Saccharomyces cerevisiae S288C: one gene and its partners. The protein of the gene in region 1 interacts with the protein of each later gene in a biochemical or structural test. Each region holds a gene or a part of one and is shown on either strand. Other genes may lie near its edges.

Region 1 (5,922 bases):
TTTTGGTTTACTTGTTAACAAATTGTTATTATTATTATCCTCATTAAAATTGCTACTGTTAATGGTGTTATAGCTAGTTTTGCTATCATTGTCATAGCGCTCCCGATTATTGTCATTTTCACTGGATGGTAAAAGATCTGCCATCTCCAATAACTTTTCCCTATTTGCACTTATAGATTTAGCTTTTTCATCGGGAGATATGCTTCTTGATCTCGAGGATCTCCTGCTAGTGAAACTATTATTGGAAGTTTGAGAAGATCTTCTTCTTGATTTTTTAAGTTTCAATTTTCGACCGTTAATGATATCTTCGAAGGAGCGGTCAATATCACTGAGAGCTTCGTTGTTGTAATCATTATCATCTGGACGAAGTAGATTGTTATTGTTAGTAGCGCTATAACTTTCGTTATCCCGAACTTTTAGTTGTAACGTTCCGTCATCTTCGTTTTTAACTGGGAAGTGTCCCTCATTGAATTCCTGTATAGAAATGATGGGTGTTACCGGGGCAGCATGAGTGGAAGGAGAAGGTGTGGAAGAAGTTGGAATAGTCAATAACATCTTTTGGTTAGTACCGACTTTACTTTTATTAATGGCAATGGTACTGTTTTGAGTGTCAGCGGTATTAATAATTCCGTTATTACTGTTGTTGAAATCACTGTTGTTTGATGCTGATAAAAGGTTATTGTCTGAATATGTTAAAGATAGCAAGTCATCCAACTCATCAAGGTTTGAAATATGTTTATAACCATGTGAATTTACGGGCAGTAAATAATTTGAGTTCATAGATGCGACGCTCAAAAGATCGTCAAAATCATCGTTATTCGCGGTTAAGTGAGACATCGCAGGTGAAGAAACTAAGTCCTGTGGATACAAATAAGGCGTATGATAGTTTGATTCTGTATCGCTATAATTGGAGTCAATGCCCGAGCTCCTAGTGGTACCATCGTAATTAGATCTTGGAGATAAAAACTGGTTTGTGAGGGATGGCCGATGTTGATTATCAGCAGGTGTTAAGATATCGTCCCACTGAAATGTATCAGATTGTTCGACTTTTAAAGTTGGTGTTTGCTTCTGCTGTTGCTGTTGTTGTTGCTGTTGCTGTTGCTGTTGCTGTTGTAACTGTTGCTGTTGTAACTGTTGCTGTGGAAGATCTGGTTTGTATAGACTTTGGTAATTCAAATCTGCAGAATAAGAACCGCTTGACGGAGACAGCAAGCTGTTCACGTTAGAATCAAATGAGTCCGGGATGCCAGAGGAAAGGTTCTTTGATATTTTCTCCGATGAATTGGCGGAATCCATCCTCATATCCACATCTAAGTCCAAGTCCGATAATTGGAACGTATGTGATCCTGAATTGCTACTATTCCTGAAATTATTACGTCTGTAAGCGCTGTTATCGTCTATATCGTTTTTGTTGTTTATACTTTGCTCCTCTCCATTACTACTAGTCATGTAGGAAGCCATATTTCCGTTGCTGAATGACATCTTCCTTGTACTGTCTGACGAAACTTCCAATCGAGACTAAAAATACAACCTAGTTTTACTCGCGTTCAGAGTGTATAATCGTACTAAACTGCTGTGATGGCTATTGCCTGCTCTTTTGATTGTACTTTATCTAGCACTTCACAAGGTTTATAAACTCAATATCGGACTAATATGATAAAAAAAATTCAGGTGGGAAAAGTGAGAGGGTAGGCAAGAAGGTCGAAAGGAAAACAAAAAAACGTATCGCTGATATATAGCTCGCTCATGCAAGGCACAAATACAGGGGTAGGGTCCTCGACGTAGTAGACATTCTGCTTCTATAGATATTAATTAGTATAATGTTATTCAAGATAGCTTAGCAATTGTTAAATGCGCGGATGTACTTTTCAGCCCCCAACAGAGGGGCGAAGTTGCAACTAAGCTAAAGTGCAGTCAAAGCTGGAGCTCAACTGCTAACATAATAAGATGTGACTATAGTGCGCCTGGCAAGTTGCATGTTGCACTATATTACGACCAGTAATTTCCCTTGCCGAGCATATATGCCAATTGCCATTACGTGGGATATGGAAGAGGTGGGGTGCTTTTAGGTATTTGCTTTTTCTCTCATTTTTTGGATAGTACACTTTAAGCATGCGGTGTGTGGATGATGCCAAGAAAATTGAAAAATTTGGGCAGGCATTCGAGAAAGGGTCTTCAAAAAAATGCGAAGTAGTAGATATGAGTGCTTCCGTGCACAAATAGTCTTGTTCAATGGAGGTGTCATCAATAAATGTGTCTCAATACGGCACATCGTCATAAGGTAGCAGATGTTGCTAATAAGAAGGACGATAAATGCATTTCTGGGATGTATCCATTGCAATCTTACGGCGACGTGCATCCTGATTGCCTTCGTCATAACCATGTATGTGGTACTTGTATCTGAGCCTGCATCCGTAGACGGAACTATGGGAAATTTTCTTCCGTTTTCCAAGATGGATCTTGCGACGAAGAGGGACAGACCCTTTTATTCGAATTGTGTGAATACTCAGGACTATTTGTTGAATCCATCGTACATCAAGCAGAATGCCTCGTTTGTCATGCTAACAAGGAACGGGGAGCTAGAAGATGTTATCAAGACTATCAACAGTATAGAAGAGCATTTCAATCAGTGGTTCCACTATCCATATGTGTTCTTAAATGACCAGCCGTTTGAAGAGGACTTCAAAGCAAAAGTACGTGATGTTACAGTGGGCGCGCTGGTGGAATTTGGCACTATCGATGAGATATCTTGGAATTTTCCCAGTGACGTAAAGGATACGTTCGAGTTCTACAACGCAATTGAGGATCAAGGTGATAGAAGCATACTTTACGGAAACTTAGAATCATATCATAAGATGTGCCGGTTTTATTCAGGATTATTTTACAAGCACCCGCTAGTACAGAAGTACGAATGGTATTGGAGATTGGAACCCGATGTTGAGTTTTTCTGTGATATTACCTACGATCCCTTTTTGGAGATGCTCCGAACTAATAAGAAATATGGATTTACGATCATCATCCCCGAATTGTATTGGACAGTCCCAAATTTGTTTAGACACACTAAAAGCTTTATCAGTCAAAAAGGCGTTACGCTTGGGTCATTATGGAAACTATTTACAAAGGATTACGACATTTTTGAATCCGATGATCCGGAGTTACGGGACTGGATCAACTATGATTTTCAGGCCAAGGCTAAGATATCCGAAAAGATAGCCATCGAGCAGCTTTTGAAAAAGGGTGATGATTTCCAACAGATAAATGATGACAAAGAGGGAATAATGAATTTGATACATAAGGCTCGCTCTAGGAAGCATATCGTAGAAGACAAATTTTTCAATGAAGAGTACAATCTATGCCATTTCTGGAGTAATTTTGAGATTGCGCGGCTAAGCGTGTTCGACAATGACATTTACAACAGTTTTTTTCAATATTTGGAGAAAAGTGGTGGATTTTGGAAGGAAAGATGGGGGGACGCTCCTGTTCACTCTATTGGATTGTCGCTAACTCTGGATTTGGACGATGTACACTATTTTAGAGACATCGGATATAGACACTCCACAATACAGCATTGTCCACATAATGCCATGGGGAATGAGGAATTCTCCTACTTAGCCAGTGACTCAAAATTCAAACGTAAAAACGCGGCCTACGACGAGGGAAGGGAATTTGGGTGTGGCTGCAGGTGCAGATGTCCCAAGAAAAAGCGTGAAATTGAGGATTCCATGGGTTTCTGCGTAAATATTTGGGTAAATCTGCTTAACCAACAGAGGGGACACGAACGCCACGTCGAAGCACTCAACGGCAATGAAATGGAGGAGCACATAAGGGAAGACTATCTAAGACAGTTCGGAAACTAGTTTCTTTTATTGAGACTTATTTTTAATATATATAGTACATGAAATAATAAAAAACCGAAAAATGCATACATAAGGTTCTATTATATTCCCAATAGAATGATCGTTATTTTATTTTTTGAAAGGCATGAAAATAATTTCAAACACCGATTGTTTAACCACCGATTGTTTAACCACCGAAACCATATAAGGTTCTACCTTGTCTCTTCAAAGCATAAACAACATCCAAAGAAGTAACAGTCTTTCTCTTGGCGTGTTCAGTGTAAGTAACAGAGTCCCTGATGACGGATTCCAAGAAGGATTTCAAGACGGCTCTGACTTCTTCGTAGATCAAACCAGAAATACGCTTGACACCACCTCTTCTAGCTAATCTTCTGATAGCTGGCTTAGTGATACCTTGAATGTTATCTCTTAGAATCTTTCTGTGACGCTTGGCACCACCTTTTCCTAGACCTTTACCACCTTTACCTCTACCGGACATTATTTTATTGTATTGATTGTTGTTTTTGCTACTCTTTTGAACAAGATGTAGGAAAAAAGATAGAGAAAAGAATAAATTAAGCGAAAAAAAAAAAATCTCTTTCACCGCCTCATCCTAATATACTTATATATGATATAACTACATACGCACAAACACGTATGTATCTAGCCGAATAACAACAGCCCAGGCGCGAGTGAACAACATATTAAATTAAACGCCTTCTTGTCAGTTGTTTTGTTCTGGTCTGGTCTGCATTTCGCGCCCGAAAAAGCTTGAGACGCGAAGCTCCCAGAACGTCCTGCCATACAAATGCGAAACTCTCGGTCTAGTACCACTTTCCCGGTGCCAAACGACCACAGTTGTCCGTTCCGAGCACTTCGCATTAAGCGCGTGAAACTATTGGCACGCCCTAAGGGGCTCCTACGGATGGGAGTTGGTCATTTAGCGTTCATTATCGCCCAATGTGACGCACAATCACGGCTATGGCTCGGTGTCAAAACATAGTTTGCGTGATAACAGCGTGTTGTGCTCTCTCGCGTTGCTTCTTGTGACCGCAGTTGTATATAAATAATCTTTTTCTTGTTCTTTTATATAGGACCACTGTTTTGTGACTTCCACTTTGGCCCTTCCAACTGTTCTTCCCCTTTTACTAAAGGATCCAAGCAAACACTCCACAATGGCCAGAACTAAACAAACAGCTAGAAAATCCACTGGTGGTAAAGCCCCAAGAAAACAATTAGCCTCCAAGGCTGCCAGAAAATCCGCCCCATCTACCGGTGGTGTTAAGAAGCCTCACAGATATAAGCCAGGTACTGTTGCCTTGAGAGAAATTAGAAGATTCCAAAAATCTACTGAACTGTTGATCAGAAAGTTACCTTTCCAAAGATTGGTCAGAGAAATCGCTCAAGATTTCAAGACCGACTTGAGATTTCAATCTTCTGCTATCGGTGCTTTGCAAGAATCCGTCGAAGCATACTTAGTCTCTTTGTTTGAAGACACTAATCTGGCTGCTATTCACGCTAAGCGTGTTACTATCCAAAAGAAGGATATCAAATTGGCCAGAAGACTAAGAGGTGAAAGATCATGAATATAAAGCGGGAATTTTTTTTTTTCTATGCATTTAGACTGGGGGGACATCATACAAACATCTCCTTTTTTAATACATTATTCATCTATCTATTCGCAATGCTTTTAACGACATGAGGAGGGTATATATGCTGTAATTTATCGTTTACAGACATAATTGCGGGGCTAATTTTTAGATGCTTAGATAGTATACGTAATTTTATAACCGGCAAGAAACCATGTATAATAATTATCAATAAACATCATTTTCGAAGAGACTAGTTACGTAAAGGTAATCACTGTCTACATATTACCATTGTAGAGGCAACCAGTTGTTTTTACTAGCAATCCTCTTAATTTCGTCATCGTCATACATCTCGATGAACTGCTGATCAAGCGCCCTGGCCTTCGGAAATGCGAAACGTCTGTACTCATCAAAAATCATCGTTAGCGACCAATTTTGTAGTTTTCTTATACAACCAATCAAACACCCCGTTCTATGTTTGCCTCTATTACAATGTA
Region 2 (6,847 bases), on another chromosome or scaffold:
CTTGCTGAGACGTGCATCTGCCAACGAGTCACTGGGCAACTTCACTGATGCTATGTTTGATCTATCTGTTTTGTCATTGAATGGTGACTTTGATGGAGCCTCCATTGAACCTATGCTGGAAAGAAATTTAAATAAGCAAGCAATGAAAGTACTAAATGAAAACCTATCGAAGGATGAAGGCAGAGGCTCGCAGGTTTTGCCGTCTAACACATCTCTGGCGTCATTTTTTGGGATTTTTGACTCTCACTTAGAAGTTTCTAGTGTGAACACCAGTTCAAACTACGATACTGCATACGCTCTATTGTCAGATGCTTTGCAAAGACTATATTCTGCAACAGATGAAGGTTACTTAGTAGCAAACGATCTTTTAACAAAGTCCACTGACATGTACCACTCTCTACTTTCTGCAAATACAGTGGACGATCCTTTAAGAGAGAATGCTGCCTTGGCATTGTGCTACACGGGTATTTTCCATTTCTTAAAAAATAACCTGTTAGATGCCCAAGTTCTTTTACAAGAATCTATAAACCTGCATCCAACACCAAATTCGTACATATTTTTGGCATTGACCTTGGCCGATAAAGAAAACTCTCAAGAATTTTTCAAATTTTTCCAAAAAGCTGTTGATCTAAACCCTGAGTATCCGCCAACCTATTACCACCGTGGGCAGATGTATTTTATTCTACAAGATTATAAAAATGCCAAGGAAGATTTCCAAAAGGCCCAAAGCTTGAACCCTGAAAATGTTTATCCCTACATTCAATTAGCCTGTTTGTTGTACAAGCAAGGTAAATTTACCGAATCTGAAGCTTTTTTCAATGAAACAAAGTTGAAGTTTCCTACCTTACCTGAGGTGCCCACCTTTTTCGCTGAAATCTTGACAGATAGGGGCGATTTTGATACTGCAATTAAACAATATGATATTGCTAAAAGGTTGGAAGAAGTGCAAGAAAAAATACATGTGGGTATAGGACCCTTGATTGGGAAAGCAACTATATTAGCTAGACAATCCTCTCAAGATCCAACCCAGTTGGATGAAGAGAAATTCAACGCAGCCATTAAGCTGCTGACAAAAGCCTGTGAATTAGATCCACGATCTGAACAAGCGAAGATCGGGTTAGCACAACTAAAATTACAAATGGAAAAAATTGACGAGGCCATAGAATTGTTTGAAGATTCTGCAATTTTAGCAAGAACTATGGATGAAAAACTTCAAGCTACTACCTTCGCGGAAGCTGCAAAGATACAAAAGCGTTTGAGGGCTGATCCAATCATAAGTGCAAAGATGGAGCTAACATTAGCTCGTTATAGGGCTAAAGGCATGCTTTAGAAGATATGTCAGGTATTGGTCAAATATATACTTTTAGTTAATACTGGATATGTTATAAAGGTTCTGTTAATGCCAAATCCATTTCAATTCTTTTCTTCCAAATATTGTACTGGTCGTCTGTGACCAAAATATTGGTGGTTTGTAACATCGATCCCAGTTTCCTAAATATAATTTCATCGTATCTGATGCCATCAAAATCATCATACCTAATTTGCAAATCTCTGAACCATTTTTCACCGATAATTAATTCCTTCACTAATTTTACACATTCAATAACATCATCCACTTTTGACGTCAACATCAAGCTGCACATCTTACTGACTATAAAATGGTCAATTCTTGGATCCTTGCGTCTTCTTTCATTAAATACAATGAATGTACAATTTAATACTAACCCACACACTAATTGCCATGGGCAAACCAATCTTGACGCGTTTATGTTGTACTCATCCACAATTTTATATGCTACTTCTCTTGGTAATTCAAAATCGTTGCAAAGCCGTATTATTTCTTCAGTAGTCATTTTGCAATACTTCTTTACTAACAAAGAATTTGGTATTCTGCCCCTTTTCCTCAGGGCTTTTGCCGTCTTCAATTCTGATTGCGGTTTTCCAACTGCCTTATTTTGTTTCGTTCTCCCGCTTCTGCTTTCTTGCACACCTAATGGCTCTTCCTCACTTGTAGGGTCACTTTCATGGTTTTCATACTCATCAGAATCTACATTTCTGGTTCCAGTAATGCTCTTATTACTATGGCTTTTTAAAGACAAACCGTCGTTTCCTGGTTCCTCTTCATCCTCATCCTCATCCTCTTCAAATGCTAACTTTCTCCTAGTAATAGACGGCGATTCATTGGTTTGCATGGGGGGTAGTTCTGGTATTACGAACGAATCATTATTTTGGCTTTTCCTAACTTTAGTTGGTGTACCAAACAGTTGATTCCTCAACTCTTTCGGATCAGAAGAAGTAAACCTCCCACCGTTCTTTACTGGACTGCGTTTGTTCTTTTTGGGGCTCGGTGTCCAAGCAAATTGTTTCATAGGTGAAGAATTAGATAAACTTTGTCTGAAAAGGTTCATTAAATGCTTGGCTTTTTTCGGCTCCAAGGGAATACTGTCTATATAATAGCAAAGGTCAGGCATGTGTTTTTCATTCATTTTCTGTGACGCTATGTATGCACATATGTGACATCTAGCAACCTCTTCATCTTGTTTCAGCATTACCTTGTTCAGTGAAGTATTATATAAAATCGATGTCGCATTAGTCAACTTCTTCAAATATCCGCTCGACCAGTCCGGTTTTTCTTGTGGATCTAGTCGAAGTACTTCTGCGACACAATGTTGGACTTGTTGCATGGACATGACTGGTTTTAATGGTATTGTTTTGGCCAATTTTATTTACTGATATTGTACACTTTTTTCTGCAATTTTAGTGTGAGATTTTTTTTTTCAATGCCGATTTCTTACTAACGTAAACAACGGCAAAGAACAAAGAAATACACAGTTTTATCACAAAGAGTTGATTTTTGCTGAAGAGAAGCGTGAGGAGTGTATTCGAAAGCCTTGCATATTCTGGACACTTGCGATTCTAGCTCTTTACGGACGCCCGCATTCTTTTTTCATACTCTGTTTCGTGCTGCTTTCACACAATATTTTTCAAAAGTTTCTTCTCATCGTTTTTCTGTTAGCAACCCTCAACTTACGAGAGAGTTGCGACTAGCATAGGTAACATTCCTTATTTGTTGAATCTTTATAAGAGGTCTCTGCGTTTAGAGAATGTCAAATTACTATAGAAGAGCACACGCGTCTTCTGGTTCATACAGACAACCCCAGGAACAGCCTCAATATTCGCGTTCTGGTCACTATCAGTATTCAAACGGCCATTCTCACCAACAATATTCTAGTCAATATAATCAACGTCGACGTTATAACCATAATGATGGTACAAGGCGACGCTATAATGACGATCGCCCACATAGTTCAAACAATGCAAGTACGCGACAGTACTATGCTACTAACAACAGCCAAAGCGGCCCATATGTAAATAAGAAATCTGACATCAGTAGTCGGAGGGGCATGTCTCAATCACGGTATTCAAATAGCAATGTTCACAATACATTAGCGTCTTCGAGTGGATCTCTTCCCACAGAATCTGCTCTGCTTTTGCAACAAAGACCACCTTCAGTTTTGAGATACAACACAGATAATTTGAAGTCTAAGTTTCATTATTTTGATCCCATAAAAGGCGAGTTCTTCAATAAGGATAAGATGCTTTCGTGGAAGGCTACAGATAAAGAATTTTCTGAAACAGGTTATTACGTAGTCAAAGAGTTACAAGATGGACAGTTTAAGTTCAAAATAAAACACAGACATCCGGAGATAAAAGCATCCGACCCACGTAATGAAAACGGTATCATGACTAGCGGAAAAGTGGCAACCCACAGAAAATGCAGGAACTCACTAATTCTATTGCCTCGCATATCTTATGACAGGTACTCCTTAGGGCCTCCCCCTTCATGTGAAATAGTTGTCTATCCAGCGCAAGATTCAACAACAACCAATATCCAAGACATATCAATAAAAAACTATTTTAAAAAGTATGGAGAAATTTCTCATTTTGAAGCATTTAATGATCCTAATAGCGCTTTACCTTTGCATGTTTATCTTATAAAGTATGCCAGTTCTGATGGAAAAATTAATGATGCAGCAAAAGCAGCCTTTAGTGCCGTTAGAAAGCACGAATCTTCGGGTTGCTTTATCATGGGCTTCAAGTTCGAAGTGATTTTAAACAAGCATTCCATTTTGAATAATATCATTTCTAAATTTGTTGAAATAAATGTCAAAAAGCTACAGAAGTTACAAGAGAACCTGAAGAAGGCTAAAGAGAAAGAAGCAGAAAACGAAAAAGCAAAGGAATTACAGGGCAAAGATATTACCTTGCCCAAGGAACCTAAGGTAGACACATTATCTCATTCGTCCGGAAGTGAAAAAAGAATTCCATATGATCTCTTGGGGGTAGTTAATAACAGACCTGTTTTACATGTCTCCAAAATATTTGTTGCCAAACATAGGTTCTGCGTTGAGGACTTTAAATACAAGTTAAGGGGATACAGATGTGCGAAATTTATTGATCATCCAACTGGTATCTATATTATTTTTAATGACATTGCCCATGCGCAAACATGTTCGAATGCAGAGTCAGGAAATTTAACAATAATGTCTCGGAGCAGAAGAATTCCTATTCTAATAAAGTTTCATCTCATTCTCCCTAGGTTCCAAAACAGAACTAGATTCAATAAATCTAGCTCATCTTCAAATTCTACAAATGTACCTATAAAATACGAGTCCAAAGAGGAGTTCATTGAAGCTACAGCAAAACAAATATTAAAAGATTTGGAAAAGACTTTACATGTTGATATTAAGAAGAGATTGATTGGTCCTACGGTATTTGATGCTTTGGACCATGCAAATTTTCCTGAATTGTTAGCTAAAAGAGAACTAAAGGAGAAAGAGAAGAGACAACAGATTGCATCTAAAATTGCTGAAGATGAATTGAAACGTAAAGAAGAAGCCAAAAGAGATTTTGATTTGTTTGGTTTATATGGTGGCTATGCAAAATCTAATAAAAGAAATTTAAAAAGGCATAATTCACTCGCGTTGGATCATACTTCTTTAAAGAGGAAAAAGCTATCCAATGGTATCAAACCAATGGCACATTTACTGAACGAAGAAACCGATTCCAAAGAAACTACCCCATTGAACGATGAAGGGATCACTCGCGTATCAAAAGAACATGATGAAGAAGACGAAAATATGACATCTTCATCTTCTGAAGAAGAGGAAGAAGAAGCTCCAGATAAGAAATTCAAGAGTGAGTCTGAGCCAACCACCCCCGAATCTGATCACCTTCATGGTATTAAGCCGTTAGTACCCGATCAAAATGGGTCGTCTGACGTACTGGATGCTTCTTCGATGTATAAACCTACTGCTACCGAAATTCCCGAACCTGTATATCCACCTGAGGAATATGACTTGAAATATAGTCAGACTTTATCTTCTATGGATTTGCAGAATGCTATCAAAGATGAGGAAGATATGCTAATTTTAAAGCAGTTATTGAGCACATATACTCCTACCGTCACACCAGAAACAAGCGCAGCTCTGGAATATAAAATTTGGCAATCTCGCCGAAAAGTTCTTGAAGAAGAGAAGGCTTCCGATTGGCAAATAGAGCTTAATGGAACTTTATTTGATAGTGAACTACAACCAGGTAGCTCTTTTAAAGCTGAAGGGTTCAGGAAAATTGCGGATAAATTAAAAATTAATTACCTACCCCATCGTCGCAGAGTTCACCAACCTTTAAATACGGTGAATATTCACAATGAAAGGAATGAGTACACACCTGAACTTTGTCAAAGAGAAGAATCCTCGAATAAAGAACCTTCAGACTCAGTTCCTCAAGAAGTTTCATCCTCTAGAGATAATAGGGCATCAAATAGAAGATTTCAGCAGGACATAGAGGCACAGAAAGCCGCAATTGGTACGGAATCTGAGCTGCTATCACTAAATCAATTAAATAAAAGAAAAAAGCCAGTTATGTTCGCTCGTTCAGCAATTCACAACTGGGGTTTATATGCTCTAGACTCTATCGCAGCAAAGGAAATGATTATCGAGTACGTTGGTGAAAGGATCAGGCAACCTGTAGCAGAAATGAGAGAGAAAAGATATCTGAAAAATGGGATTGGATCCAGTTACCTTTTTAGGGTTGATGAAAACACGGTTATTGATGCCACCAAGAAAGGTGGTATAGCCCGTTTCATTAATCATTGTTGTGATCCAAATTGTACGGCAAAGATTATAAAGGTTGGCGGGAGAAGGAGAATTGTTATCTATGCACTGCGTGATATCGCGGCAAGCGAAGAGTTGACATATGATTACAAATTTGAGAGAGAAAAGGATGACGAGGAAAGACTTCCTTGTTTATGTGGAGCACCTAATTGTAAAGGTTTCTTGAACTGACGATGATACATTGATTTGTTTGGAGCTTCCTGATTTAACATATCGTTGCTTTCCAGCAAAAGGTAAAGATAAATACTAAACTGTATACATCTATAAGTAATCTCGGCCATTATTTTAACGATTAGTACTTTTGTTCGTGTCATTTTTTTGGAAAATTTTGCGATCTCTCACTGTTGAAGAATAAAGATTTCGCGATGACTTTTGCTTGCAGAGAAATGCCTGAAAACACGAACATTCAATAATATAGATGGTACATAACATATGCGCAAGAAAACGTAAAGGCCACGGATGAAGCATTTCTTTAGGCTACCGACAGCATTCCGGCCCATTTCTAGGGTTTCCTTACGATATTCTAGTACTGATACCGCTCAACCAAAAATATCAAAACTCAAAATTAGTTTTAATAAAATTTCTGAATCAAATAGCGAAAAAAAAGATAATTTGGGTTCAATTGACACACGAAATTGTCTTTCGACTCAGCAAGATGACAAACTATCAAG
Region 3 (7,637 bases), on another chromosome or scaffold:
ATAACGGAAACAATAGTCCACCAAAGCAAGCATAGGGAGTGGAGATAGCATCTAGGTTATGATAACTAACACCGAGTTCGATGTGCCCGTAGATTGGTTGTATAAAGGTAAGAGTAGACGGAAGACAAATACGAAGCCATCGAGGCCTTCTACGTCGCCAGCCTCCTCTTCATCTACGTCCTCTTCGAAAAACGGAGACAATAGCACGAGTGGTAACAGGTCTAGCAATGATAAGCCTCGTGCGAGGTCGTCATCTGTATCCAATGCAGCACTTTGTAATACTGAGAAACCAGATTTGAAGAGGAACGATGGTAATACCTCTGCATCAGACACTGATAACATACCGCTACTTACTCCTATTAATAGCGGTAACCGGAGCGATTCCGCTGACATTGATAATCCGGCTACCGTAGACGCCATAGACCTTATAGATAATGATGACAACGGCTCAAGTACTCAATTTGTAAGGAAAAAACGTTCCACTTCTATATCCAATGCTGTGGTCTCGTCCAAACCAAGACTGGCCAGTTCTGCCATAAACGCCACCGCATCTTCTTCTGTTGGCAAGGGAAAGCACCCGCCAATTTCTTCACCATCTAATGCTACTCTCAAGAGAAGCAACTCGACTAGTGGAGAAAAGACTAAAAGGTCGATTTTTGGATCTTTGTTTAGCAAACGGTCTACCTCTTCTTCAGCTTCCACTGCCAAGAAACCATTACCTGTTGTTAATACTAGCACGACTGAGAATGAGTCTGGTGGCATTAAAGCAGTTGCGACTCCTGATCCACGGGTGAAGGAGATATCATCACCAATGAGAGGAGTGGCACCAACAGCTAGCAAGCCACAGACACCTATACTCCCCTCCCCTGCACTTGCAGTAAAAGACCTATCTACAGTTTCATTGAAAAGGGTCTCGTTTGCCGTCGATAAATTCGAATCCGATCCTCCCCAACAACTTCCTTCAAGAACCCCAAAAAAGGGAAACATCCTTATCCCTGATGACATGATAAGCGAGGTTCCTTCTATTTCCGTGGGTATTTCCAGTAGCAACCAATCGGCCAAGTCAACCAATTCCAACATTAAGGGACCGTTGTACACTAAGAAGTCTAAAGAATATATACTCGCCCTGGAAAATCAAAAGTTGGCTTTAAGGGAGGCTGCTAAGCATCAGCAAGAAGCTCATTTTGCTGCTAATAGAATAGCCTTTGAAGTAGCCAATTTTAAGACTGCTTCGGATGCAGGCGGTAAGCTTACTGAAAAGTCATCAGAAGGCACCATTACGAAGCAAAGAGAAGAGGTGTCACCTCCAAATGTTGAAGCTGATCGGGAGCTTGAGAATAATAAACTTGCAGAAAACCTCTCAAAAGCCGGCATTGATAAGCCCATTCATATGCATGAGCACTATTTCAAGGAACCTGATCAAGATAAGTACCAAGACGGTCATTCTATTGAAAATAACGAAGTTACGCTGGATGTTATTTACACAAGATGCTGCCATTTAAGGGAAATTTTACCCATTCCGTCTACCCTAAGACAAGTAAAGGACAAGACAGCTCCCTTGCAAATATTGAAGTTTTTGAACCCTAAGCCTACCTTGATCGATATTCTTTCCTTTTGTGATTTCATCACCATTGCTCCCATTCACACGATTGTTTTCGACAATGTAGCTTTAAACCAGGATATGTTCAGAATAATTATTTCTGCTTTGGTAAACTCCACAGTTTTGGACAAATTGAGTTTAAGAAATGTACGAATCGACCAAGATGGATGGAAATTACTATGTAAGTTCCTTTTGCTAAACAAATCACTGAACAAGCTCGACATTTCCCAAACGAAAATCAAATCTGACCTTGCTGAATCACTATATCGCCATAACATGGATTGGAACTTGTTTACTGACGTCTTGTCTCAGAGATCTCACAAACCTATAGAAGAATTGTTATTCAATGGTATTCAATTTAGCAAAATTCCTTACTCATGCTTTGCACGTTTACTGACATCCTTTGCTACCCAAAAAAACTTTCCAGAATCGGGCATCAGGCTTGGTTTAGCAGGTGCCACTACTTCCAATATCTCTCAGGATTGTCTGAAATTTATCTTCAATTGGATGTCTCAATATAACGTCCAGGGTGTGGATCTAGCGTTTAATGATCTGTCCACTATGATTAAGCCAATGGTTGGTAAACTATCTGCTCTATCATATGATAACTTAAGATATTTCATTTTGAACAGCACTAATATTTCGACTTCTTATGATTTAGCTTTGCTCTTGAAATATCTTTCTAAGTTGCCTAACTTGATTTTTTTGGATTTGAGTAATTTGTCGCAATGCTTTCCTGACATTTTACCCTACATGTACAAGTATTTACCAAGATTTCCGAACCTGAAGAGGATACATTTGGATAGCAATAATTTGACATTAAAGGAACTAGCTGTCGTTTGTAATATTTTGATTAAGTGCAAATCGCTCTCGCATGTGTCAATGACTAATCAAAACGTTGAAAACTTCTATCTAATGAACGGCACAGATTCTCCCGTTCAACAAACTAACACAGACGGCGACTTGGATAGTTCGAGCACATTGGACGTTAAGGGCCAATTTGCTAAAAATAGTTTTTCATCCACACTTTACGCATTTGCTAGAGACTCTCCAAACTTGATTGGTTTAGATTTTGACTATGATTTGATATCAGAAGAGATTCAATCAAGAATAGCACTGTGCTTGATGAGAAATATGAAACGGACCATGGATTCGACTTTCCAGTTAGATGAATTGGATTCGCAAGATGATTTGCTATTCGATGGCTCTTTAGTAACTATGACCGCTGAAAGTGTTTTAGAAAAACTGAACTTGTTAAGCGATAAGAGTACAAAGGTCAAAAAAGACACCACGAAGAGATATTTGCTGAAAAAATATATTGAAAAGTTCCATATCTTGCACCATAATGTTCAGCATACAATAGATACTATGTTCGAAAAAAGGAAATCAGGTGAATTGCCATTGCAAGAAAAAGAAAACCTTGTAAGATTACTCCTTTTGGAACAAAACTTATGCAATATACTAGAATTGTTTTCGCATAATCCGAATCTGAATGATGTCCTTGGATCCAGCAGGGATGATTCGAAGGAAAGTGTTGACTCCAGCGAAGATTCAAAATTACCAGCATTGAAGCACGTTGAATCCGGATACCATGTTCCCGAAGAAAAAATACAACCTGAGAATGATGTAATTACAGCAAGACCACATTTAATGGCCACCGATTCTGGTAAAACTATTGACGTTTTCACAGGCAAACCATTGGTGTTCAAGCATACATCATCTAGTACTTCTGTAGGTTGTAAAAAGCAGGAAGAAGAAGAAGGTGAACTACATAAATGGGGTTTCTTCGTTCAGCAGCAGAGGTCTTTATACCCTGAAAATGAATCAACAAGGCAGACACCTTTTGCATCAGGTGATACGCCTATCAACACAGAAACAGCTGGTAAGTCAACTTCATCTCCTTCAGTTTCAACTTCTAACAATGAAACTGCTACCACTAGTTTATTTAGCCCAGCTAATCCTAAGATTTTACCAAAAATTCCATCCGGTGCTGTCTTAAGATCGGCAATCATGAAGGCTAAAGGTATTGATTCTATCGATGATTTGATTCAGAACGTTAACTCCAACAACATAGAATTGGAGAACATTTATGGTGAATCCATTCAGAATAGCGCTTCGACATTTACACCAGGCGTGGATTCTGATGTATCTGCGCCCAATACCGATAAAGGATCCGTAGAAACATTGCCTGCAGTCTCAACTGACGACCCAAATTGTGAAGTCAAAGTCACTGCTACCTATGACAAACTATTAAATAATTTGTCGATGGAGAGGTCAATCAGACTTTGAAGATACATGAATCCTTCTCTTCACTGATGGATCCATTTTCTTCTTCCTTTTTTTCACTGCATAAAACTTTTTTTATCAACCTTTCATATTTTCCATATTTATTTATATATACCGCCAGTAAATTTGGCGATATTCGATAGACTTAACAGATAAACTTTTTAAGATGAATTAAAGCACAGAGGATTAAGCTTACCTCTTTAGAATCAATTGATATGTTCGGCTACATATTAGACACTGCATATAACCCAAGGCGGGTAAAATATGAACAATTTCAATTGGGCTTTGTAAATGCTTACTTTTAAATGTAAACGAAGCTCATCAGAAGAAAAAAAACAAGAGATTTGGAAAAGGCTACTTCGACCTCAATAATTTCTCAGCCTATCTTTCTAATGTCATTACCACAATGGTGTCCACCGCATTCCACCTTAAAAAGAAATCCAACTACAGGAGAGGACGTATACTGCATATGTAAAAGGCCAGACTATGGGGAGCTGATGGTGGGATGTGATGGTTGTGATGACTGGTTTCATTTCACCTGCCTTCATATTCCTGAGCAGTTTAAGGACCTGGTGTTCTCTTTTTATTGTCCTTACTGTCAAGCGGGGATTACTGGTAAGAATAAGGACGCCATAATCAATGGTGAAGGGAGCTTGCCAAAAACCTTATGGAAAAGAAAATGTAGGATAAGTGATTGCTACAAACCATGTTTACAGGATAGTAAATACTGTTCTGAGGAACATGGTAGAGAATTTGTGAATGATATTTGGTCGCGATTGAAAACAGATGAGGATAGAGCAGTCGTCAAGAAAATGGTCGAACAAACAGGACACATAGATAAATTCAAGAAATTTGGACAACTGGATTTCATTGATAACAATATAGTTGTAAAAACAGATGACGAAAAGGAAATATTCGATCAAATTGTTGTACGAGACATGACGTTAAAAACTCTTGAAGATGATCTGCAAGAGGTTCAAGAGATATCGCTACCATTATTCAAAAAAAAGCTAGAACTTTTGGAAGTATATTTGGGATGGTTAGACAACGTATATACCGAAATGCGCAAGCTGGACGATGATGCTGCAAGCCATGTGGAATGTGGTAAAGAAGATTCCAAGGGGACAAAAAGGAAGAAGAAGAAAAATAGCAGCAGGAGTAGGGCTAGGAAAAATATATGTGGCTATTGTTCTACATACGAGCGAATACCCTGCTCTGTGGAAGAATTTGTCAGAGATTTTGGAAGTAATGAGGAAGCCACCAAAATACATGAGGTATGCACGAAGTGGAAGTGTAACAGACATTTGGATTGGGTGTCTACTAATCAGGAACAATACCTCCAGCAGATTGACTCTTTAGAATCTATGCAAGAAAGGTTGCAACATCTGATACAGGCCAGGAAAAAGCAACTAAATATACAATACTATGAGGAAATTTTAAGAAGAGGTTTGTAACGGCGTTGGAGCCTAATCAAATATCAGTTTCTACATATATATATACTTCGTAGTGATGATATATCAATTGGAGCGTCCTTGCATAGGCAACGCCTATTTGGATAGTCTTCAATTTCGACCCCATTTCACGTGAATAAAGCGGAGCTATCTCTGTTTTGCAAGGGTTCGGCCGATTTTGCTGCGAAATTTTAATAAGCGCATATTGATTTTTTCAAGCAATACTTTGTATATTCATGATCGAATGAATGAAAAAGCACCACTCCTCAGCCGCATACCTTCAGTATCGTATTTATTTCCTTCTTTAATCACTTAAAATGAGCACTTTAGATATTGCAGAAGACAACAAAATAAAAAATGAAGAATTCAAAATTTGGAAAAAATCAATACCCTCATTATACCAACATATTTCAAGTTTGAAGCCTATCTTTGGCTCAGGCGTTGACGAATCTCCATCGACACTTAGGAGTATAGTTTTCACTAACGATAGCTCATGTAATAAATCCAAAGGTGTTTTGAGCGTACCACTTTTATATTCTCAAGGGAGTGAAATCTTTGAGGTGGATTGTATAGTGCCACTCGGACTTCATTACAAAAAACCTGAAAGCATTTCAGAACCGTTAGTACAACCGGATTATACCATGGAATCTCAAAAGGTGGAGCAGACTGTTTTGATTCCAAAATGGGAATTTAAAGGTGAAACGATTGCAAAGATGATTTACGTGGATAACAGCGAAATAAATGTAAAGGTGATAGCCCTTTCTACCAATGGTTCTTTGGCATGGTTCAGAGAAGGTGTCAAATCGCCCGTTTACACAATGATGGAGCCATCCACTTCTCTAAGTTCAGCATCGTCCGGAAATCAAAATAAACCCTGTGTTGATTTTGCAATTTCTAACGATTCAAAAACCTTAACAGTAACTAAGGAAAAACATCTTGATAATGAAAACGCTACAATAAAATTGATAGACAACTCAGGTAAAATAGGAGAAGTGCTTCGTACAATACCTGTTCCTGGCATAAAGAATATTCAAGAAATCAAGTTTTTGAATAATCAAATATTCGCCACTTGTTCTGATGACGGTATCATAAGGTTTTGGGGTAATGAGATAGGCAAAAAGCCCCTTTGGATTCTAAACGATTCTTTGGACGGCAAAACAACTTGTTTTGCTGCATCACCGTTTGTTGATACATTATTTATGACGGGAACTAGTGGTGGGGCTCTCAAGGTTTGGGATATACGTGCAGTTATCGCTTTAGGGGATGCTGATGCTGAGTTAAATATCAACCAAGGACATAATAAAGTCAATGAACTATTCAAAGTTCATCACTTTTATAGCGAGCAAGTGTCCAAAATAGAGTTTTCTTCCATTTCGCCTATGGAAGTGGTTACAATTGGAGGGTTAGGTAATGTTTACCACTGGAATTTCGAACCTGTTTTTGCCATTTATAACGAGATACATGAGGACTTTCAAGGCATAATATCTGACGAATTGGAGGCCGAAAGCATGGCATTTTATCACACTGAGGGCTGCAGAAGAGAAATAGGAGAAAATAATAAGGTTAATACCGTTGCTTATCACAAATACATTGAGGATCTAGTTGCTACAGTTGATAGTGACGGGTTGTTAACTGTATATAAGCCGTTTACTGGAAAAGTTTTAGATGGCAGTAGAGAGGTTGGAGCTGCCAAAAGTTAATTTTTATATTATTTAGGCTGTTTGAGTTTGGGGCGGAAATGTATGAATAAATTGTGTAATATTTAGTCTTTACTTCAGCTTTTGTTTTTCTAAAAATTTGTTTTTAATGTTTTATTGTCTGAAGTAAACATTAATTATTAGCTTGAGAATTGCTCTACATGTATATATAAACGGCAAGGATCTACTCTTTAATATAGAGAAATGTACATACCTTTGAAAACGCGTTTTCAGAGTTTAGAATGTATAAGGTAACCTTAGAACCACATCTCTTATTGCCAGACTCTCAAAGGTGAACTGATATTGAGCCTATTTTACCCTTGTTTATGTTCACTTTCTCAATGCGAAAAAAAATCAAAAAGAAATAAACTTTATCCTTAGAGTTGAAGAATTAGAAAGAGAATAAATCAAAGGGATCAGTTGGGAAAGCTCAATACTTTCCGCTTAATTTTACTGAAAACCTCATCAAACACGTAGGCACATATATATTCATATATTTATATGTTGGCTACCTTCTAATTTGCATGAAATTCGTTCGCTCAAAAAATTAGACATTTTACTAGTAGCAAGTATTACCTGATTAGCATAGCAGGCACTGTTATC
Region 4 (8,286 bases), on another chromosome or scaffold:
CCGTGCAAAGCCATCAAAGCACCGACATCGAACTTTGGTTGTTTCAACAACTTAACCTTTCTAACATGGATGTTTTGTAGTGGGAAAATGTCCTTGGTGGCGTTTTCAATTTCCTTGTTGATAACTTCTGGAATCAACTTGGAGGTCAATTGGGCCAAGGTAGATCCTTGAACTTCCTTAGTCAAGATTTCGGAAATAACCTTTCTGATAGCTCTGATATGGGAAGATTGAGCGTAAGAGTGTCTCTTAACTTGGTTAGCTTGCTTTCTGGTGAAGGCGATAGCAAAGATTCTCAAAACGTAATCATCAGAAGTCTTAACAGTAACGTTAGCTTCGATCAAAGTTTGCCACTTTCTAACCATGGATCTCAATTTATCAGTAGTGAAGTCCATACCGTGGAAGTTGGTCAATAAATTCTTACCTTGGACTTCGTCAACTCTTAATTTGATTTTTCTGAAAGAGTGGTCTTCAGAACCCTGTAAGTCAGCCAAGCAAACTTCGACAACTCTACCTTTCAAAGCATCTGAAGCACTCTTCAAACCAGTGGACTTGTTAACTAAAGTCTTACCAACATTTCTGTTTTCAAAAGTGGATGGAGCTTTAATGTCGAACCATTCCTTTCTGGTAAATGGGTCAACGACTCTCTTCTTTTGACCTTTCTTACCCTTGGATAGTCTCTTATTCTTTCCGACAGCCATGATTAAACGATTGGTTATTCGTGTGCTTGTTTTGTTTCCTTAATATTAAAGTTCACAACGTGAACACCTTCCTTTCTTAATAGAATAGTTGTGACATCTAGTCATTTTGGGTATATTATCGCGCAGGTGAGAGAGTCCTGGAATTTCCAGCGGATGGTGACGCGAGGCATCCGTAGTGCACAATAAAAAGTTAGTTTTTCATTAACCGAAAAAAAAAAAAAAATAAAATATATTAATGTTTGGGTTTCAACGTTTCCGTGGGTCTGGGTCCACAACAGAAAACTGTCCTGAAGTTTGATTAGGTTTTAGTAAGTAAACAGTTATGGTTACATTATTAAGGAATACAGAAGAGACTGCATGTGTACATAGGCATATCTATGGCGGAAGTGAAAATGAATGTTGGTGGTCAAATGCAGTCCATATTTTTGAATTCTTCATCCATCGAAAAGGCGTAATTTATTTCTAAAGGAAGTTTTAGTTCTACCATAATGCTTGCACTGGGCTCCTCGAGCACCACAACAACTAATTTTTCTCCCACTAAATCATTCACTACACTTATCCAAGAAAATTGCTTTAGTTTCTCTATAGTTATTGCGGGCTCCCAGGCACCGCATATGACCTTCTTAATTTCTTTTGACGCCTTGTACCCTGGGTTGTCCCGCAACATCTTCACCATCTTAATCAGGACGGTCTCCAGAGCAAGCGTATGACGATTCGTGCCTTCGGTTTCTTGCGCCAGGGTATATAAAAATGTTCTCATCAACAGAGACATTCCTATAATCTTCTTTGAAATAGTTTCATCCTTGAATCCGTTAATAGCTTCTGAGAAATAGCGTGGTACCATCTCCTGTGACACTACCAATTTACCCTTTTGTAGACCACCTTTCCGTACGAAGTCTTTTTTAGAAATTTCTACGGCAGCTTCACATATTTTGAATGCTTTTTCAGTACTACCACTTACGTTGGCTACGTTCTTTGCAATAAGTTGAGTGATTTTGTTGTTGATCTTATGATTGATTACTATCACATTATCTGGTATTTTCTGGTTCTGTCCTTCGCGAATATTATTGTAAATAGTCATTTCCTTCTTATCATTTACTTTGACATGAAAAGGTTTCAATAAAGATTTGAGTCGCGTGATGATCATTTGTTGCAATTCATTCTTGTCCACCTTATTAAGTTTGATTTCGGTAAAGTGTGCTTTGAGGGAGGGCATTATATTTATTTGCTCTCTAATCGTCACATTATGTCCGCCAACGCAAATGATAGACAATTTTGAATTTTTCGAAGAAATCCATTTCTCGAAATATTGTAAAATCTTCTCACTCAATAGATTTTCCGGATTTTGTATTAATATTAGTGTCTTTCTCTTTTTTGCTTTCGGGACATTTGTAATATAGAAGTTTAAGGCCTCTAGTGATATATCACCGCATAGATTTTCTTTAGAAATGGCGAACCATATTTTCTCATATAATGCATCCATTCCTGCCAGTTCCAAGGCATCAATATGAATGTAATCGAAAATAGGTAGTTCCTTTCGGGCCGAAGAGGTGATCAACTCATCCATTACATCATTCACAAGCTGGAATTTAGTAGAATCATCTGCATTGGTAATATAAAATAGTTTATTTTGGGAAGACATCAAACTGTCGTAAATCGGAAGGAATATTCTTGTAAAATCCTCCACTTGTGATTTTAGTAGTTCTCTCTTTTGTAAAGATTCTCTAATTGATTCCTCTAAATTTATATCAGCGTTAAAATTTGACAGAATGGTTTCTCTTCCAGATGAAGAGCATGCTTTTCTAAACTTATCCTCAAGGCCTGCAACGTCCAAGCTTGACTGTTCGTCTGTTAATTTGTTCAATTGGGAGGAATCTGTTACTTGATTATCTGGTGCAAACCGGTCTAAAATTATCTGATATTTTTTTTTCAACTTTGACAAAGTAGCGAAATCAATCATCTTTGCATTACCTTTTTCTGGTGTAGGATTTTCGTTCATACTATGAATTTTGGTGTTGCCCCTGGGAATTCCAGGTTTTCCATTTCCGTTCATTTCGTTATCTGTTTCTGTAGTGTAATTTTTAGAAAATTCTTGTGTTTCTTGAATGTGGATTTTTCTAATTTTACTGCTCAATTCGCTTCCGTGAGCGCCACGTCTTTTATTTACTGGTATTATTGCTTCATCAGAACTTTCTGAACTAACTTCATCTGTTTCCTCTTCAAGCCCACCATCATCACTCACTTCTGGATTATTTGCATATACAAAATTCTCTCGGCCGTCAACGAGTTCTGTAGATGTCTTCTCTGGCTTTGACCCAGGTTTACTTGAAAGCACAGATGTTTCATTGTTTGGCTCATAATCGGATTCCTGTTCTGAAGAGTTTATTGGTATTTCCTCTGAAACAATTAGTTCCTTTGATATAGATCTTTTTTGTAAAATTTTCGAAGAATCTGTAGGTGATGTGAGCGCAGAAGGGGACGCCGATGAGATGTTAGGGGAAACAGACTCTTCTTGGGGAGAAATTGAACCATGAGTTGTTGACGTTCCTCGCTGAGACGGTATATTTCCATTATTTACGTCATCATCTGCAGAGGGCTCGATTTTAATTTTTTTCATTGAAGGTTTCTTTGCTAGTCTTTTTGAAGATCTTTCAACTCCCATCTTATGCATCACCTGTCTATTTGTCTTCTGCCCACTCACTGGTACAGATACTCTTTTCAAGTATTCATCAGATTGTTTGGGTTCCATTTCCTTTACTCTTCTTATGATTTGAAAAATATCAATTGGTACAAACTTTTCCGCAGTAGGTTCGCATGCATAACGTACTAGAAAATCTCTATCCTCTATTTTATCGATACTACTATCATTCCATTGTGACTCTGGCAGTATCTGTCCAACTGCAATGAAATCCTTAAGCCAAATCTCTGATAGCTCAGCAGTTAAATATAACTCGCTCTTATTTACTTCGTTGAAAAATTTATCTTTGTAAAATTCTAAAGGATGATCTTCCTTTATTAGATCTGGCCTGAATTGTTCGTAGTACAGTTTTGGTTTGAGTTCAAACCATCTCAAGTAAGAAAAAACCCAAATCTCCACAACATTATTAAGTGTATTGAGTCTGATCTCATGGATCAAGTAGACAGAATATGTTTCCGTCACATTATCATTAAATATCACGCTCTCACCCTTCCCAAAACTCAATCCATCAGAAATTCTTTTCAGAAATACGTTTTCTCCTCCTCTTTTTCTTGATCTTCTTCTATTGTTGTCGTCAATAACCCTCCCCTGATCATCTGTAATGATAACTTGCCAACCGTCCAAATCTTTCAATGTTTTAGCCATTTTAGCTAATCCAATTGTTAGAACAAAACAACTTTCTTAAACCCCTGTAAGGAAGGTGATGAAAGGGCTGCTTATGTGTTTTTCTTTTTCATACTATGTTCATTTTAACTTTTTTGGAAAGAATAGCGTTTTCGCGGTCATATTACTGATGCGATGAAAATTTACAATTATTTCTTTATTTAGATTGATACATAATATGGTTAACTTTAAATACATCTTTTGGACGCCGCATAAACAAACGTCCCGAATACTTTGTTCCCCTGGATTCGTTGTTTGCTTAACACTGTCAACTCTCTACTTAGTTTCATTTACACCATTTCTTTGTGTATCAGTCATTGCGAATACCCTTGCATATCTAATGGATCGAAAATAAATGGTGATGTCAAGAATACGAGATACAATAGCCAGGCCATTCCAGAACCTTACAGCCCTTGAGAAAGTGGTACAGTGGCTAAGATTAGGGACGACATTACTCATAATCTCTTTCGGGTTGGCGTTGACTGTCGGACCCCTTTCTTCGCCAAGAACATTGTACATGTCACGACTGGATACTTACTCTGCTGATATTACGACGGGTTTATTTACCGTGTTGAGAGAGTCTATGGAGCAGTCGACATCTACAGAAGAAAATAACGGTGTAGGCTTAACAACATCCGAACTGTATATATTGACTGCTTACACCGAAAGTCAGATAAAGAATGTTCCTCAGTACATCACAGTGTCGCTTTATGGGAGGTGCGATTCAACATATACCATGGTGGAAGTATTCGACTCTGAAGGAAATATGCATAGCGTAAAGAATTCGACTACTAAGAGTACCTGCAGTAGCATAGGAACGGACTATCTTTTTGATTATCGTGAGGTTTTAGAAAGCTTGGGTTTAGATATCATTTTAGATTATGCATACAACAAAATCGGTTCACAACAGGCAGAAAGTTCTGCATACACGACCTACATGAGGAGTTTAAAACATAAAAAGGCCAACGTGTTACATTTACTCTATGCAGTTATTAGTTTCCAGGTGTGTATGTTATTTTTCATGATATGGTACTACTACATAAAGGGAAGGTTTATGAACGCCCTCAAAGAAAGGGCACTTGTTCATATCAACTCTCTACTATCGCTAGTTGTTTTCATTGGGGGCCTGATAAGTAGCATAAGCCTTGCCTGGGTTAACTACACTATTCAGTCTAGAATTAATACAGAATTAGAGGCCTTCGGGTTTTCTTACCATCTTGGAGTTACATGGTTTGCGCTTCTGTGGTGTTTTGCAGGTTTGATTTCTGTGTCATGCTTAGCTTGGTCTGGCTTAGAATGGTGTATTTCCGATAATGGCACGTCCTATGGAGGTGGAATCGATGATAAATTCTTAGGCTACCAAGCCGGTGTATTTACTGATGCAGATCTAGACGATGAAACTTCTTACAGTCAACGTTATCCGCAACGACAGTCTACTTCGGGCGAGGCTGAACTGATGAGAAACAGTGATACTATGGCAACAATAAGAAAAACATCTGATGTTGACTTAAATAGTGAAAATGATGCTAACACCAGTTTAGACCATGGAAATCCCACCGCAAATATAAGCAATGGCGGCAAACACGAACCATTTGCTACTAGAGAGGAATTCGAATTGCAGGACATAAGATTCCGGTCAAGCAACGACAGTGAAGAAAGTATGCAAAGGGTTATCAAGCCTTCGTCAGCATTACAGTTTTGAATTCTTTCACCCATCATTCAAAATGCATATGCATACTATATTTGTCTAGTTTTTAATTATATAATAATAATAACAGAAACAAAAAATCGCATTCATCGTTTAATCTTATTTTTCTTTTTTCACCTTTTTCTTGTGAAATTGCCAAGCGCTTAAAAAATCGTTATTTCAGAACTAAACATCATTAAGCAACGAAGAAGAGAAAAGCGGAACTATAACCATGAGTGATACTACGGAAGTCCCTAGGCAATCATCTGAGAACGACCAGGATAATAACTTGGAAAGAACCAACTCATTAAAAAGTCCGGACGTGACCAACAATATACCAAGTCTTTTCAAATTAGCCGCCGAATGGCAAATCAACAATCCACAGGAAACCTTCCAAAACCATATCCTGGAAAATGATGTACTCAAGAAAATTAATGAAATCACTCATTTGATCCGGGAATCGTACAAAGACCTCTCCAGTCAAGATGGGATGATGTCCAAACAACAACAGGAAAAGATGGATTGGGATTTGTTTTGTACTGTTCCTGTAAACATTATTGAGCAATATACAAAAGACATGGACGAAATATATGAAAAAATGGAAAGGCTAGCAAAAGTAAGTATAGGTCGAAACTAGGCATCCTGTGCCATCTCAATTTTACTACGTTCTTTTACTAATAATGCAAATTTAATAACAGCAACAACGTCTTTGGTGTGAATCCGCTTTTCAAATAGACGTGGAAAGATGTGGTGACTCCATTCTCAATGCTGAAACGTGGATGAAGAAGAAAGAGCGCCATTTAGAGTACAAAAATATTGAAATGGAAAGATCCGCAAATGAAATTAAGGAAACTATTCAAAGACTAACAGATGATAGATGAGCCATACTCAAATATATCTGCGATATTGCTAATGTTAGCTATTTCTCACATTTGCTTTTTTTGATTTTATTTATTTACTTTTACGACAACTGGCCTTATCACTCGGCTCTCTAAAAGAAGTCATGTTCCCTTCGTTGGGTTAATTTTTTTTTTTTTTTTTTTTGTTTATATGTTTTTTTTTTTTTTGCCAGGTATTGTTAGCGCCAGATAGCAAAAAATTTTATTCAGGGATACTGAACACCGGGGAAGTTAACTGAGTATATCGGTTATCATTATAAACACAAGAATGTAAGCCAGAAAGAAAAATAAACGTCCACCCCTCGAACTTTCACATATAAGCAAGTAAAGAAAAAGTTAACAAAAGGAGGTTCAGAACATGACAATTGAAAGCACTCTAGCTCGGGAATTAGAAAGCTTGATTTTACCCGCTGATTCCATAGTGAATGTAGTTGACCAATTCCAAGAGGAGTTGTTATCACGGCTTCAGACAAATACGATTTCTATGCTCCCGCAGTGTTTAGTCCCAGATAAACGATCGCGATGGAACCCTGAAGACAAAATTCTGACCATTGATTTCGGCGGGACAAGACTGAAATTTGCAATTATCTCTCTGCCCCAAATCGTTATCGAATACAATGATGCCTTCGAACTTACCTACAACATCGTTGATTCGAATTTCTTTAATCAAATCATCTATACAATATGTACCAGGCTGGCTGCAAATGGTTATATAAAAAAAAAGAACGAGTCATCTGAGGCGTCTAAATTTTTTGTTTCCGTGACATTCAGTTTTCCTCTAAATCCAGAAGGGGAGGTAGTTGCAATGGGAAAAGGATTTGTGATGACTGACACCCTTCAAGGATCCACGGTGAAACAGCTCATCCAATCTTCCTTTCACCGGATTATATCAGAAAATATCGAAGAATTTTTCTGTACCATGAACGTGTGTCATGTAATAAACGATGCAATTGCAGTTTCACTAACAAGCAAATTTATATGCGAAAACGATTCCATCTCATTAATAATAGGAACTGGTACAAATGCATGTTTTGAGGTTCCATACGGATATTTACCACCTTTCAAGAGAGATGCCCTGAGAGAAACATTACCGTCAAGCTATAATAAGGAGACATTAAATTTCAAACATGTTCTCATTAATTCTGAAATTGGCTTTATTGGTAAAAATGTCATTGCATTGCAACCGTTTGACATTCATGGAGCAATCTCATACGAAATGCCACTAGAGTGCGTTACTTCTGGTAAATGGCTTCCCCTATCATTAAAAAATATTCTATTGCAATATAACATAATCCCCAAAAACTTCCCAGTAGAGTTCAATGGGGAACTGGTATGCCAGCTGGCAGAAGACTGTACTAATGCTTGGTTCGAAAACGAACATTATGCACTAATTTGTCAGATCGCACGACTATTAATCAAGAGAGCCGCATTTTATGTTGCTGCAATTGTACAAGCTATTGATATCATCACAGGCTGCAAAAACTATAACTTTATTCATATTGGCTACGTTGGATCCTTTCTCCACAATTCAAATTTTTATCGAGAGCAGATAAAATATTACTCCAGCATACATATTAAGTTGCAATTCTTAAATCACAGTAATCTTCTAGGCGCTGCAATAGCCACCTACTTGAACAAATC

The links.
Region 2: of the proteins of HHT2 (region 1) and SET1, one has a biochemical effect on the other in vitro, tested with the Saccharomyces cerevisiae proteins (4 studies listed by BioGRID).
Region 3: the proteins of HHT2 (region 1) and SPP1 form a complex in vitro, tested with the Saccharomyces cerevisiae proteins (3 studies listed by BioGRID, with this or other methods).
Region 4: the proteins of HHT2 (region 1) and SIR3 form a complex in vitro, tested with the Saccharomyces cerevisiae proteins (6 studies listed by BioGRID, with this or other methods).

What each region holds. Positions count from the first base shown.
Region 1 is NC_001146.8:575,140-581,061, reverse strand, and holds HHT2 (histone H3), read left to right. Parts: upstream 1-5,011; coding exon 5,012-5,422; downstream 5,423-5,922. Other genes in the region: DNA-binding transcription factor CRZ1, read right to left, coding at 1-1,482; KTR5 (putative mannosyltransferase), read left to right, coding at 2,289-3,857; HHF2 (histone H4), read right to left, coding at 4,024-4,335; putative tyrosine protein phosphatase SIW14, read right to left, coding at 5,711-5,922. UniProt on the Saccharomyces cerevisiae protein: Core component of nucleosome. Nucleosomes wrap and compact DNA into chromatin, limiting DNA accessibility to the cellular machineries which require DNA as a template.
Region 2 is NC_001140.6:342,939-349,785, forward strand, and holds SET1 (histone methyltransferase SET1), read left to right. Parts: upstream 1-3,104; coding exon 3,105-6,347; downstream 6,348-6,847. Other genes in the region: protein channel TOM71, read left to right, coding at 1-1,330; ORC6 (origin recognition complex subunit 6), read right to left, coding at 1,383-2,690; mismatch repair ATPase MSH1, read left to right, coding at 6,636-6,847. UniProt on the Saccharomyces cerevisiae protein: Catalytic component of the COMPASS (Set1C) complex that specifically mono-, di- and trimethylates histone H3 to form H3K4me1/2/3.
Region 3 is NC_001148.4:289,069-296,705, reverse strand, and holds SPP1 (Spp1p), read left to right. Parts: upstream 1-4,278; coding exon 4,279-5,340; downstream 5,341-7,637. Other genes in the region: protein phosphatase regulator GIP3, read left to right, coding at 59-3,889; UME1 (Ume1p), read left to right, coding at 5,655-7,037. UniProt on the Saccharomyces cerevisiae protein: Component of the Set1C/COMPASS complex that specifically mono-, di- and trimethylates histone H3 to form H3K4me1/2/3, which subsequently plays a role in telomere length maintenance and transcription elongation regulation.
Region 4 is NC_001144.5:1,018,211-1,026,496, forward strand, and holds SIR3 (chromatin-silencing protein SIR3), read right to left. Parts: upstream 4,042-8,286; coding exon 1,105-4,041; downstream 1-1,104. Other genes in the region: 40S ribosomal protein eS1 RPS1A, read right to left, coding at 1-698; ECM7 (Ecm7p), read left to right, coding at 4,415-5,761; GMC2 (Gmc2p), read left to right, coding at 5,979-6,362, 6,445-6,627; NGK1 (hexokinase), read left to right, coding at 7,004-8,286.